3 linked regions of the Ovis aries genome follow. The protein of the gene in region 1 purifies or fractionates together with the protein of each later gene. This does not show direct contact. Links are inferred from orthologs where the notes say so. Each region holds a gene or a part of one and is shown in the gene's direction. Other genes may lie near its edges.

Region 1 (3,748 bases):
CTCTCTAAACCTCTGGATGCTGATACTTAAATGTTCTGCAGTCACTTTCTTTAAACTCTCCAGTTCTGGAAAAAGTGGAATGGGGATTATACTCATTTTGATATATCAAAGAAATGAGTATGTATGTATCCTGACTCCCAGAAAGCCTGAATCATCCAGAATGTTGACTCATGGGCCTAAGGTGACTGAAATACAATGTGAATCAAATTTGCCTTCCAAGGCATCCTTCTCTTTCCACTTTCCTCTCTCTCCTCCCTCTTTTGGGTGACTCATCCTTCTACCAGTTAAGTCCAGCAGCGTGCAGATCCCAAAGCCCTCTTTGAAGAAGTACAGACTCATCAAATGGTCTGTTCCAGTCAGTCCCTATATCGTCTAGCCTAGTTGTTTTGCCTACCTCATCCAGGGTCTGCAGTTAAGACTGGGAGTGACTTTAAACCTGTAAAAAATATTATTTTTTCTTTTAAGGTGGTGATGGTGATCCCCTTAAGGTGATAAGGTGGCTTGGGAATTTAAGTTTGAAAGAAAACAAATTTTCATTTCGAAATTTACAATTTAACGTTTGCTTCAATCCTTAGGGCCTACTCCACAGTACCGTTATTCATAACCTTCCTGCGCTCTGGGTTTTTTCCTTTCCTGGGAGGAAAGTTTCCACTCCCAGTCTCCAAGATAACGCCCTTCCGGTGGCGTGCCAGGAACGTCTCCGACCCCTCAGTGCTGGGAGGGAGTCGTTTCGTTTTCTCAGTGCTGTAAACACACAGACTCCAGCTTCGCCAGGGCCAAGACCAAGACCCCAGCCGGACCCGCAACTACCCTAGGCAGTCGGTGGGGTTCCCAGCTCCAAACCCCGCCCATCGAACCCACCCGAGCCGGTAAGAGAGAGGAAGTGCAGTGAGACCCACCCACTTTCGTCTTTTTCCTTTTCTGTTGGGCCGACTGGTTGCCCGTCAACTCTATTTCTTCGCCGATTGGCTCACTCCCTCCCGCGTTAGTGCCTCCCTCTCCCTGGCTGGGAGGGTGTCACGCCAAACTGGGCGGAGCGTCGGCTGGCCTCTCTCCTTCTCTCATCTGGGCGGCGGCGGCGGCAACTGGGGACGGGGCGGGTGGCGCATCACGGGCGCGGAGGCTGGAGGAGCAGTCTCATTGTTCCGGGAGCTGTCGCCACTGCAGGTCCCTCGGCTCGTTGGGCCCTGCCCCTCTCAGTCCTCCCCGCCCCCCACAACCGCCCGCGGCTCTGAGAAGAAGCTTCTCCGGCGGAGGCAGCAGCTGCAGCATCACCTCTGACCTGCCAGCCATGGAAGACATGGACCAGTCGCCTCTGGTCTCCTCGTCCTCGGACAGCCCGCCTCGGCCTCAGCCCGCATTCAAGTACCAGTTCGTAAAGGAGCCCGAGGACGAAGAGGAAGAGGAGGAGGAGGAAGACGAGGACGAGGACGAGGACCTGGAGGAGCTGGAGGTGCTAGAGAGGAAGCCCGCCGCCGCGCTGTCGGCGGCCCCGGTGGCCGCAGCCGCCGCCACCCCGGCTAGCGCGCCCCTGCTGGACTTCGGCAATGATTTCGTGCCCCCGGCGCCCAGGGGGCCACTGCCGGCCGCGCCTCTCGCCGCTCCGGAGCGGCAGCCGTCTTGGGACCCGAGCCCCGTGTCGTCGTCGGTGCCCGCGCCGTCCCCACCCTCCATTACAGCAGACTCGCACTCCAAGCTCTCTGAGGACGAGGGGCCTCCGGCCCGGCCTCCCCCTCCTCCACCGGCCGACGTGAGCCCTCAGGCCGAGCCCTCGTGGACCCCGGCTGCCCCAGCCCCCGCCGCGCCCCCCTCCACGCCGGCCGCGCCCAAACGCAGGGGCTCCTCGGGCTCAGTGGGTGAGTGCCGCGCCCTCCGCCTCGCGCCGCCCCTCGCGCCCCTCCCTCTTTTGTGCGCAGCCCCTAAAGCCTGGACCCTGCCCTTCTGTCCATCCGGAGGGGGCTTTGTCTGCAGATCTTTGGGCGAAGGCGCCCCCGCTGGTGGGAGCCGCGGGGAGCAGGGTGGGGCGGCAGAGGAAGCTCCGGCTTACTCTTTATTGTCCGTCTGGGTATCGGGGAGCACGTGCGCCCCGACCGCTCCCGGGTTGTTCTGTCTGCTCTCCATTCCACCGGGTCGGGGAAGTTAGGAACCCACCCCTTGCAGGAACTGGGTCTGTAATGAGGGAACTAGGGGTGTGGATTCATCGGGCTGCCTTGGTTCCGGGATGAGGATGGAAGGCCTTGGCGCCCTAATCTTTTGTCTGCCCAACTAGGTTGCTCCTGAGGAAAAGACGCAGTTTCTTGCTGGTCTTTGCCTGCATTCAGCCCTGGCCCCTCTCCTCACCCCTTCCTTGGCTTGGGTGGCCCCATGCTCTTCATCTCCCCCGCCCCGGCCCCGCGCTCGTGGGGAGCCGGTCCAGTGGAAAACGTCCACATTGACCTGACTGCAGTGAAGGGACAGCGCCTCCAGTGGTGTGACGCGTGGAGAATTGCGGAGCGGAGTTTCGGCGAGGTCCTGCCACCGCCCAGTTTACCCGGGTTGTGATGTGGCTATTTACCACCAGCTTAACGGCGCCGGGGAAATGGGACCTGGGCACCGTGTTCCAAGGGGGCGCAGTTCTGCCGGGAGCTCTGCCGCAGAAGGAGGGGAACAGTTGTTAGGATGCACAGGTTTAGTCTCAATGCATCGTAATTGAATCGTAGAGATAAAAGGAAAAGGCAAAATGGTTGACATTCCCAAAGAAGGGGAAACCTGTGGATTCCCTGGCGGGAAGAGGACAGTTGAACTTCTGGCAGATTTACCATGGGACTTCATGAAATGTTTTCAGACAGACGTTTTCATCTGTTGGTTAGAAATACTGTTTCGTAGAAGTAATATATTTTAGGGCTGCAGAGACAGATTTGCATTGTCCGTAAATAGTTTTCAAATCTTTTCATTTACCAGCACCTGATTGTTATTACTGTTATTAGGAAAAATTGTTTTATTATCCTTTTCATTTTGGGAGATTGTTTATTTTGGAAGAGAAAAAAGTTTGTTAGAGGTTGAGAATTCATCCTATTAGACACGTTAATTAACTTATTAACAAGTAGCTTGTTAGTTTGGGGACAGAAAGCGTCGCACTAGAAGTAGGACCTTTATGTGTAAATAGGCAAGGATCAAGAATCAGGTAGTGTAACAGTCTGGTGAGAAATTGTCATAGCCTTGTAGGATTTTAGAGCCGGTTGTTTTTCTAGAAAAAGATACTCAGTGGGAGATCATGGAAGAATTTTCTTTTCTTCGGCTCACTCCTGCACCACAAGGAAGAAAAATAAGTCAATAGTGATATCGACATACCCCACAGCATTACTCAAAACATTAATTACTACACTACAGATAATTAGAATGTGAGAAGTAACTCAAGTTTTCCTTTTTATGAGTGAAAACACATTTCGAGAAACTAAAGTAAGGTGGAAAAATATCAAGTAATAAGACATTTACAAATGATAAATTTAATGATTAAGAAAAGCAAACTGATTTTTCATATTGTATTCCTGTGTGGCAACAAAAGAGTTCTGTGCTTTGAACCTTGGAGAGTCAGGAGGTGACAGCATTCTTTCTGTATTTTGACTTTAGGAATACTAACTTTGGAAGACAAAGGAGAGAATGTTGAGTCACTTAGCGATTCTATCTTTACATGGCTCCCTAATTCTGTATTGATGTTGCCTATCTAGAAATTTTAGTTCCTTTAGGACATAAAGGAACACTGTGATTA
Region 2 (3,648 bases), on another chromosome or scaffold:
ACCTCTCTGATGGGCAAGTAGTGGTATCTCCTTATGGTTTTGATTTACATTTCTTTGTTAAGTAATGGTATAGAACCTTTTCGTATGATTATTGACCATTTGGATATCCTTTTTAAATTAAATGCCTGTTCATAATCTTTTGCTTATTACTCTTCTTAAAGGTGGAATAGTTGTCTTTTTCTTTGGGATTTCTCTAATGATTCTGGATATGAGTCCTTTGGATTTAGGTGTTAAAATATTTTCTTTTAGCCTGTAACTTGCATTTTTACTCCCTTAATGATATCTTTTAATGAACAAAAGTCTTAATTTTAGTGAAATCTAATTAATTTGTCTTTTTTTTTTTTAATGGTTGGGTGCATTTGTGCTCTGTTTAAAAACTTTTTACTCTTCCATGCTAATGGCAACCCACTCCAGTACTCTTGCCTGGAAAATTCCATGGATGGAGGAGCCTGGTGGGCTGCAGTCCATGGGGTTGCTAAGAGTCGGACACGACTGAGCGACTTCACTTTCACTTTTCACTTTAATGCATTGGAGAAGGCAGTGGCACCCCACTCTAGTATTCTTGCCTGGAGAATCCCAGGGACGGGAGAGCCTGGTGGGCTGCCGTCTATGGGGTTGCATAGGGTCGGACATGACTGGAGCGACTTAGCAGCATGCTAAAAATACATATATTTGAAACTTTTTTTTTTAATCTCTATAACAACATAGGTGATGCTATGGAGAGTGGAAAGCCTTGTCCAGTGCAGGTTGTTTTGGTTCAGAAAGACCAACATTCCTTTGAGCTAGAAGAGAAAGCCTTGGCCAGCATCCTCTTACAGGACCACATCCGAGAGCTTGACGTGGTGGTGGTGTCAGTGGCTGGTGCCTTCCGAAAGGGCAAGTCCTTCTTTCTGGACTTCATGCTACGATACTTATATTTCCAGGTAAGGTAGAGTTACTTCATTTCAAATTGGAAAGTGGAGACTCTTGTGTCCAAAAGAGCAAACTCACCTCATGAGTTATCCTTGATGTGTAAAGTTACTTGAATAAGTTTTAATGGAAATTTCTTATTTCTCCTACAGAAGGAAGGTGGCCATTCAAACTGGTTAGGTGACCCAGAAGAACCGTTGACAGGGTTTTCATGGCGAGGGGGCTCTGACCCAGAAACCACCGGAATTCAGATCTGGAGTGAGGTTTTCACTGTGGAGAAGCCAGGTGGAAAGAAGGTAGGGAAGAAAAAGACTTACAAACTAACAAACAGTGAAATGGAAACTTTGATGTGTAGTCTGATAATCCAGTTAGAATGACTTTTGTCAAAATGATATAAGTTCAAGATTTAAAAATAATGCATGAATGCAGTTTAAAAGGCCAGTGGTAACGGAAGGCTTCTAACATGACCTAGTCCTCCATCTGCTCATTTTCACTTCCAGAGGCTAATGCTCTCAGCTGTTCAGAAGTTACTTTGCATTCTTACATCTGTCAACATTCACTCCACCCACCCCCCCGGCTGTCAGCAGCTCCTCTCATGAGCCTCCTAAGCTTCAGTGCAGAGCTTCTCCCCAGATTTCTTTGTAAGGGTCAGCTGGGGCAAGGTATATGTCTCCTCAAGTGGAAAGAGAGAATTTGGGGTTACGACTGTTTCTTAAATAGACTTTAACCCCTTCCTTCTGTTTTTAGTCTCACCCTAAAGCATGTTTTCACGGTTGTTTGTGCCTCTCATTTTTTGAGTCTTTCCAAGGCTTAAGATTTCGTATCTCCCCTTCACATTGTTCAGTTTCAGTCTTTTCCTTGATGTTAAGTTATTAAATATTTTGGGAGACGGAGAATTGATGCATGACTCTTGATCACTGTTTCCACAGCTTCTGTTTTATTTTATGAATTTCCTTATTATTTCTTTAAATATTTTGTTTCTCTCTGTTTTAGTGAAGTTTCAGGAGAAAGGTATATTAGAAAACCCTCTAATTTTTTTTCAATGCTTAGATATGCATACAAAAAAAATGTATAGCAAAATAGGGAGATTTTTACACTTTTTTTTTTAAAGGAAGAGAATGTAGAGGAATCCCTGGCAGTCCAGTGATTGGGGCTGTGTGATCACTGCCGAGTGCGTACGTTCAGTTCCCGGTCAGAGTACTAAGATCCCATAAGCCGTGGGGGCGAGGGGGTGGGTGGGTAGGAAGAGCCTGGGAGGAGAATGAGGATTTTTTGAAATATAACATTAGAAACTTTTGCTTGGAGGAATCTTTAGATATTATTTTATCCATTCTTTAATTTTTTTAACAGCTTTATTAAGATGCAATTGATATTCCATTTCTCCCCTCCCAACTTTTGAGCTTTTGTCATATATTTTACTGTAATAACGTTGTTTTTATTTTTATTTATGTTTAAATGTTCAGTTATCTTTTAAAGATATTTAAATAATAAGAAAAAAGCCATGTACTTACACACGCAGTTACCATTAACTAACTGTGCTTCACTTTCTGCGTCCAGATTTCTGTTTTTTGTGTTCATTTTTCCTCCCACTTGAAGGACTTCCTTTAATAGTTCTTATAGCGCTACTCTTCTGCTGTGGAAATCTTTTAGCTTTTGTTCTGTGTCTGAAAAGTATTTCACCTTTGTTTTGAAAATAGTTATGCTGGGTATAGAATTCTAGGATGGGAGTTTTATTCTTCAGTGCTTCTGAGATGTCAGTCCCCTGCCTTTTTGCTGACATTGTTTCTGCTGAGAAATCTGTTATTATCCTTATTTTTGTTTGTCTCTGTTTAATGTGTCTTTTTTTGTCTGGTTGCTTAAAAATTTTTTTTCTTTATCTTTTTTTTTTTTAGCAATTTGATTATGACATGTCTGTGTTTTGAGCTTTTTCAATATGCGGATTTATAATTTTTATAAAAATCAAACATTTGGGGGGCCATTGCTTCTTCAAATATTTTTTTGTCCCTTATCCTCTTTGGGGAGTCCTGTTATACATGTATGTCAGTCTGCCTGAAGTTGTCCCGCAGCTCACTGATGCTCCATTCATTGAAAAGATTTTATTTCTCTGTTTCCTTTTGGATAGTTTCTGTTGCTCAGTCTTCTAGTTCACCAATCTTTTAAATCTGTTGTTAATCCCATCTAGTGTATTTTTTTCTTTAAATATCTTTTCTTTATTATTTATTTTCACTGTACTGAGTCTTAATTGTGGCTCACAGGGCCTTTGTCACGGCATAGGGGCTTCTTCGTTGCGGCAGACGTGGTGTCTAGTTTCCTGACCGGGGATTGAACACAGGCCCCCTGCATTGGGAGTGTGGAGTCTTACCCGCTGGACCATCAGGGATGTCCCTCATCTAGCGTGTTTTTCATTTCAGACATTGAGATTTTCATCTTCAGAAGTTTATTTTAGGTCTTTTTTTTTTTAATGTTTTTCATGCCACTTAACTTTTTGAATGTATGAAGTACAGGTATACAGAATACTGTTTTAGAGTCATTTTCTATTTTAAATCTGTGACAGTGATTTTTTTTCTCATTTGGGTGGTATCTTTGCATGCTCATTTGGGTGGTATCTTTGCATGCCTGCAAACTTTTGGTTGGATGCCAGATGTGTGAATTTTAACTAGTTGGATGCTGGATATTTTTGAATTCCCATAAAATACTTAGCTTGTTATATGGGATGCATTTAAGAAACTTGGAAGCTGA
Region 3 (3,648 bases), about 150 Mb from region 1:
TCTTTGTGAGGCTGAGAGCATGGGGCAGGGGGTGCAGGGGGCTGACGAAGAAGAGCCCCTTAGAGCCACAAAGCAGGGTGAGCGTGATGTTGAGGGCGAGGACTGATGTCATAAGAGAATGGCTGGGGAGGGAGGTGGACTCGGGCTGGAATCCCAGCTCCCCACCTGCCAGCTGTGTGCCTTTGGGTGAGTTGCTTCACCTCCCTGAGCCGTTCCCTTGTCTGTAAAGCAGCAGTGACGTCAGCACCTGCTTCAGAGTCGTCGTGAGGTTAACCCCCGTGTGGGGCTCAGCACGATGCGGAGAGCTTCAGGGGGCCTTGCAGATCACCTTTGTCCAGTTCAGTTCAGAGGAGGGGAGAGGACTCGACCAGGGCCACCCAGCCAGCAAGGAGCAGAGCTTCCCAGCATCCGGCTCAGTGCCCCGGCTGCCCCTCACATCTGAAAGCAGAACCCCAGGGCTCAGGGGTTTGTCTGTAGAGAGCTAGCACTTGACACCACTTAATGCAGTCAGGGAGATTGACTCGAGGAGGGAGGAAGGGAGCACAGATATGCAGTACTCAAGGTTAAGCACAGGTACTTGGGAACTTTGTGCTGAGCTTCCTGGCAGCCATAGTGAAAAGGGGCTACATGCTCAGTTATGTAGCTTTCTTTGTCCCTGTTCCTCAGGTGAAATGGAGCTTTTCCAGTGATGTAGTAATACACTGATGAGTTTCATGAGTCTGAGTTTTGTATTAATAGCGTCTCCCAGCTGGCACCAAGATGGAGTCGGGGTGCCTGGATGAAGTGGAGAGAGGGTGTTCATGGCAGAGGAGCGGTCCAGAGGTGTGGACCAACTGGTGTGTTTGGGGGAAGTGCAGGGGGTAGACCCTCCCTGGGGCCGAGCTGACCTCTCGTGTCTGCCCTGTCGTTTCAGTTGGGCCACGTGGTCCTCTCCCCAGTCTGGTTCCTGTACAGCCTGATCATGAAGCTGTTCCAGCGCTCCACCCCGGCCATCACACTCGAGAATCCAGACATCAAGTACCCGCTGCGGCTGATTGACAAGGAGGTCAGTGCGGGGCCTGAGGGGTCATGGGGCACAGGCACCTCTCTCTCTTTCTCAGCATCAGAGCATTTCGTGGGCATCTACTGTGTGCTTAGGGTACGGACCCTCTTGAAGTAGATCCCATTATTTGCCCATTTTACAGATGGGGAAAGTGAGGTGATGTCCATTTCTAAGGTCTTCCCAGGTGGCACTAGTGGTAAAGAACATGCCTGCCAATGCAGGAGACATAAGAGATGCGGGTTCAATCCCCTGGAGGAGGGCCTGGCATCCCACTCCAGTATTCTTTTTTTTTTTTCACTGTTTTTCAAAAAATGTATTTTCGGTGGTTTTACATCAAATTTATTGTAAGAACAGTTGGAATAATTAAAATACAAGCTTCACTTTTATTTTTTGCAATTGACTGTCTTTATATTTTGGACTTCTTTATACCATGACTATTTCATTTTTTTGAGTTAATCATTGAATGTATTTTCAGCATAATTTATTGCTTCTTAAGAGTATCTTGGCTCTTCAGCATAATTGATTTCCTCTCTAGAACTGGCTGTGAAGGCTTTTATAAATGTTGACACTAACTTCAAGTATATGGCTGGTCATTCGTGTACACTCCAGTATTCTTGCCTGGAGAATCCCATGGACAGGGGATCCTGGCGGGCTACAGTCCATGGAGTCACAAAGAGTCGGACATGACTGAAGCGACTTGGCATGCATGCACGCATATCCATTTCTAAGGCTACCAGTAAATTACTGAGGGATTTGAACCCGGGTCTTTGACCACAGAGCAGGTTCTCTGAGCCACACTTACTATCCCACAGAAAATCAGAGTGGGAGCGATGCTGTACTTGGACTTTTGGGTCCAAGTACCCATTTAACAGATGTGAAAACAGAGGGCAAGAGAGGATTAACTCAGGTCACATTGTGAGCTAGGGGTTGGGTTAGGACTCAGGCATAGGCCTCGTGGTCATCCAGGGTGCCGCATCCCAGGGCCCGTTCCTTATAGATAAGGTCTCCTCCCCTTTCCTTCCCTCTCTCCCAGGCCCACCCACCCAGGGCCCCTAGAGTCCTGATTCCCTGCGTGTCCCCATGGTCTTGACTGTGGCTGTGTCTGCACAATGCTTTTCCTTTTTCAAACCTCCGATCGTGGCTTTGATTTAAAACCATCCTCTCCCCATCTTTGCCCAGCCGCCCACCCTATAGGGCCGCTTCCCTCGTCACTCCCCCCATCAAAGCCTCCCCCGTGCTATTTCTGGCCACAGGCAGCTGCCTCAGAAGGGGTGTGGCAGGGAGGAACTGAGTCATGGGGCAGAGAAAGCCAGTCACCTGCTGCAAGCCTGAATCCTGGGCTCTGGTCTGTGCCCTGGGCTCCACGTTAGAGCTGCAGCGCCTGTGACCGTAATTGTACCAGGAGTTCTTCTTAGAAGTCGAAAACCAGAAAGAGGCCAAAAAAAAAAAAAAAAAGACCACTTCCCAGATGAGACCAGACTTAGTCCTTTCAGTATGTCCTGTACACAATTTTTTCCTACTAAAATGAAATCACAATGTTTTGAATGCTTTTCTTTTCAGAAAGTTCTTTTTCCTTGTTTTTTTCACCACGTGGCTTGTGGGATCTTAGTTCCCGGACCAGGGATTGAACCCCAGCCACGGCAGTGAAAGCCCAGAATTCTAACCCCTAGGCCACCAGGGAACACCCTTGTTACTGTTTTTTAATTCCAGAAGTAATGTATGATTTACATGTGCTCGCTGTAAAAATTGTACTTTTATAAAAAAAAGGCACATATTTATACGTGCTCTGTTCTCAAGGTGCGAATGTTCCCCTCCCCTGCACCATGACCCCTGTGCAAGAGGGTCCCGGTCACGGGTCATCGTGAGCCTTCCCTGGCGTCACATTTGTTATGTACATGACGTGTGGACGTTCAGGTGTGTGTATACTTAGTTTCTCTTTTTAAATAACCTAACATTTTTACCTGGCTGTACGACATGGACTTCCCTGGTGGCTCAGACGGTAAAGAATCTGCCTGCAGTGCAGGAGATGCTAGTTCAATCCCTGGGTCGGGAAGGAAATAGCAATCCACTCCAGTATTCTTGCCTGGAGAATCCCCGTGGACAGAGGACCCTGGCGGGCTGCAGTCCAGAGTCAGACGCGACTGAGCGACTACCACTTTCACCTTCACACATCGCACAGACCCCTTTTCATGTCTAACCCAAAGCCGAGTCATCCCGTTTGACAGCTCTCTGGTGTTTGTCACAGGGATGTCCGCAGTGGACCCTGCAGGCCCCTGTGATTGAGCAGGCGGCGAGTGTCCAATGTCCTAGCAGTTACCCTCCCCCATTGTAGCCTCCTGGTGGCTTTGCAGGGTCAGCAGGTGGACTTGCTCTCGCTACTTGCTGTGGCTCAGGGAAGGGTCCCGGACGCCCGCCCTTCCCCTGTCCGAGCGGGCCTGGACCAGGTGATGGGCAGGGTCGCCCTGAGCTCTGAGAACCTACTGCTCAGCTTGTTGTGGCCAGGGGCTTCTTGGAAGCAGCAGCATGCCAAGCTCTCTCAGACGTCAGCCTCGTGAGTTTTGCTGTCCTGGGCTGGAGGTCGTCAAACACAGTAATCTTCAGGGACT

Evidence for each region.
Region 2: the proteins of RTN4 (region 1) and ATL3 purify together in Homo sapiens (affinity purification with mass spectrometry; 4 studies listed by BioGRID and IntAct, counting the BioPlex papers as one, with this or other methods). This does not show direct contact. The link is inferred for Ovis aries from reciprocal best matches to the Homo sapiens genes RTN4 and ATL3.
Region 3: the proteins of RTN4 (region 1) and NADH-cytochrome b5 reductase 3 purify together in Homo sapiens (affinity purification with mass spectrometry; 3 studies listed by BioGRID and IntAct, counting the BioPlex papers as one, with this or other methods). This does not show direct contact. The link is inferred for Ovis aries from reciprocal best matches to the Homo sapiens genes RTN4 and CYB5R3.

The regions. Positions count from the first base shown.
Region 1 is NC_056056.1:68,964,143-68,967,890, forward strand, and holds the start of RTN4 (reticulon-4), read left to right. Parts: upstream 1-1,081; 5' UTR 1,082-1,291; coding exon 1,292-1,856; intron 1,857-3,748. UniProt on the Homo sapiens protein: Required to induce the formation and stabilization of endoplasmic reticulum (ER) tubules. They regulate membrane morphogenesis in the ER by promoting tubular ER production.
Region 2 is NC_056074.1:38,478,809-38,482,456, reverse strand, and holds part of ATL3 (atlastin-3), read left to right. Parts: intron 1-708; coding exon 709-923; intron 924-1,061; coding exon 1,062-1,205; intron 1,206-3,648. UniProt on the Homo sapiens protein: Atlastin-3 (ATL3) is a membrane-anchored GTPase that mediates the GTP-dependent fusion of endoplasmic reticulum (ER) membranes, maintaining the continuous ER network. It facilitates the formation of three-way junctions where ER tubules intersect.
Region 3 is NC_056056.1:219,410,995-219,414,642, reverse strand, and holds part of NADH-cytochrome b5 reductase 3, read left to right. Parts: intron 1-913; coding exon 914-1,045; intron 1,046-3,648. UniProt on the Homo sapiens protein: Catalyzes the reduction of two molecules of cytochrome b5 using NADH as the electron donor.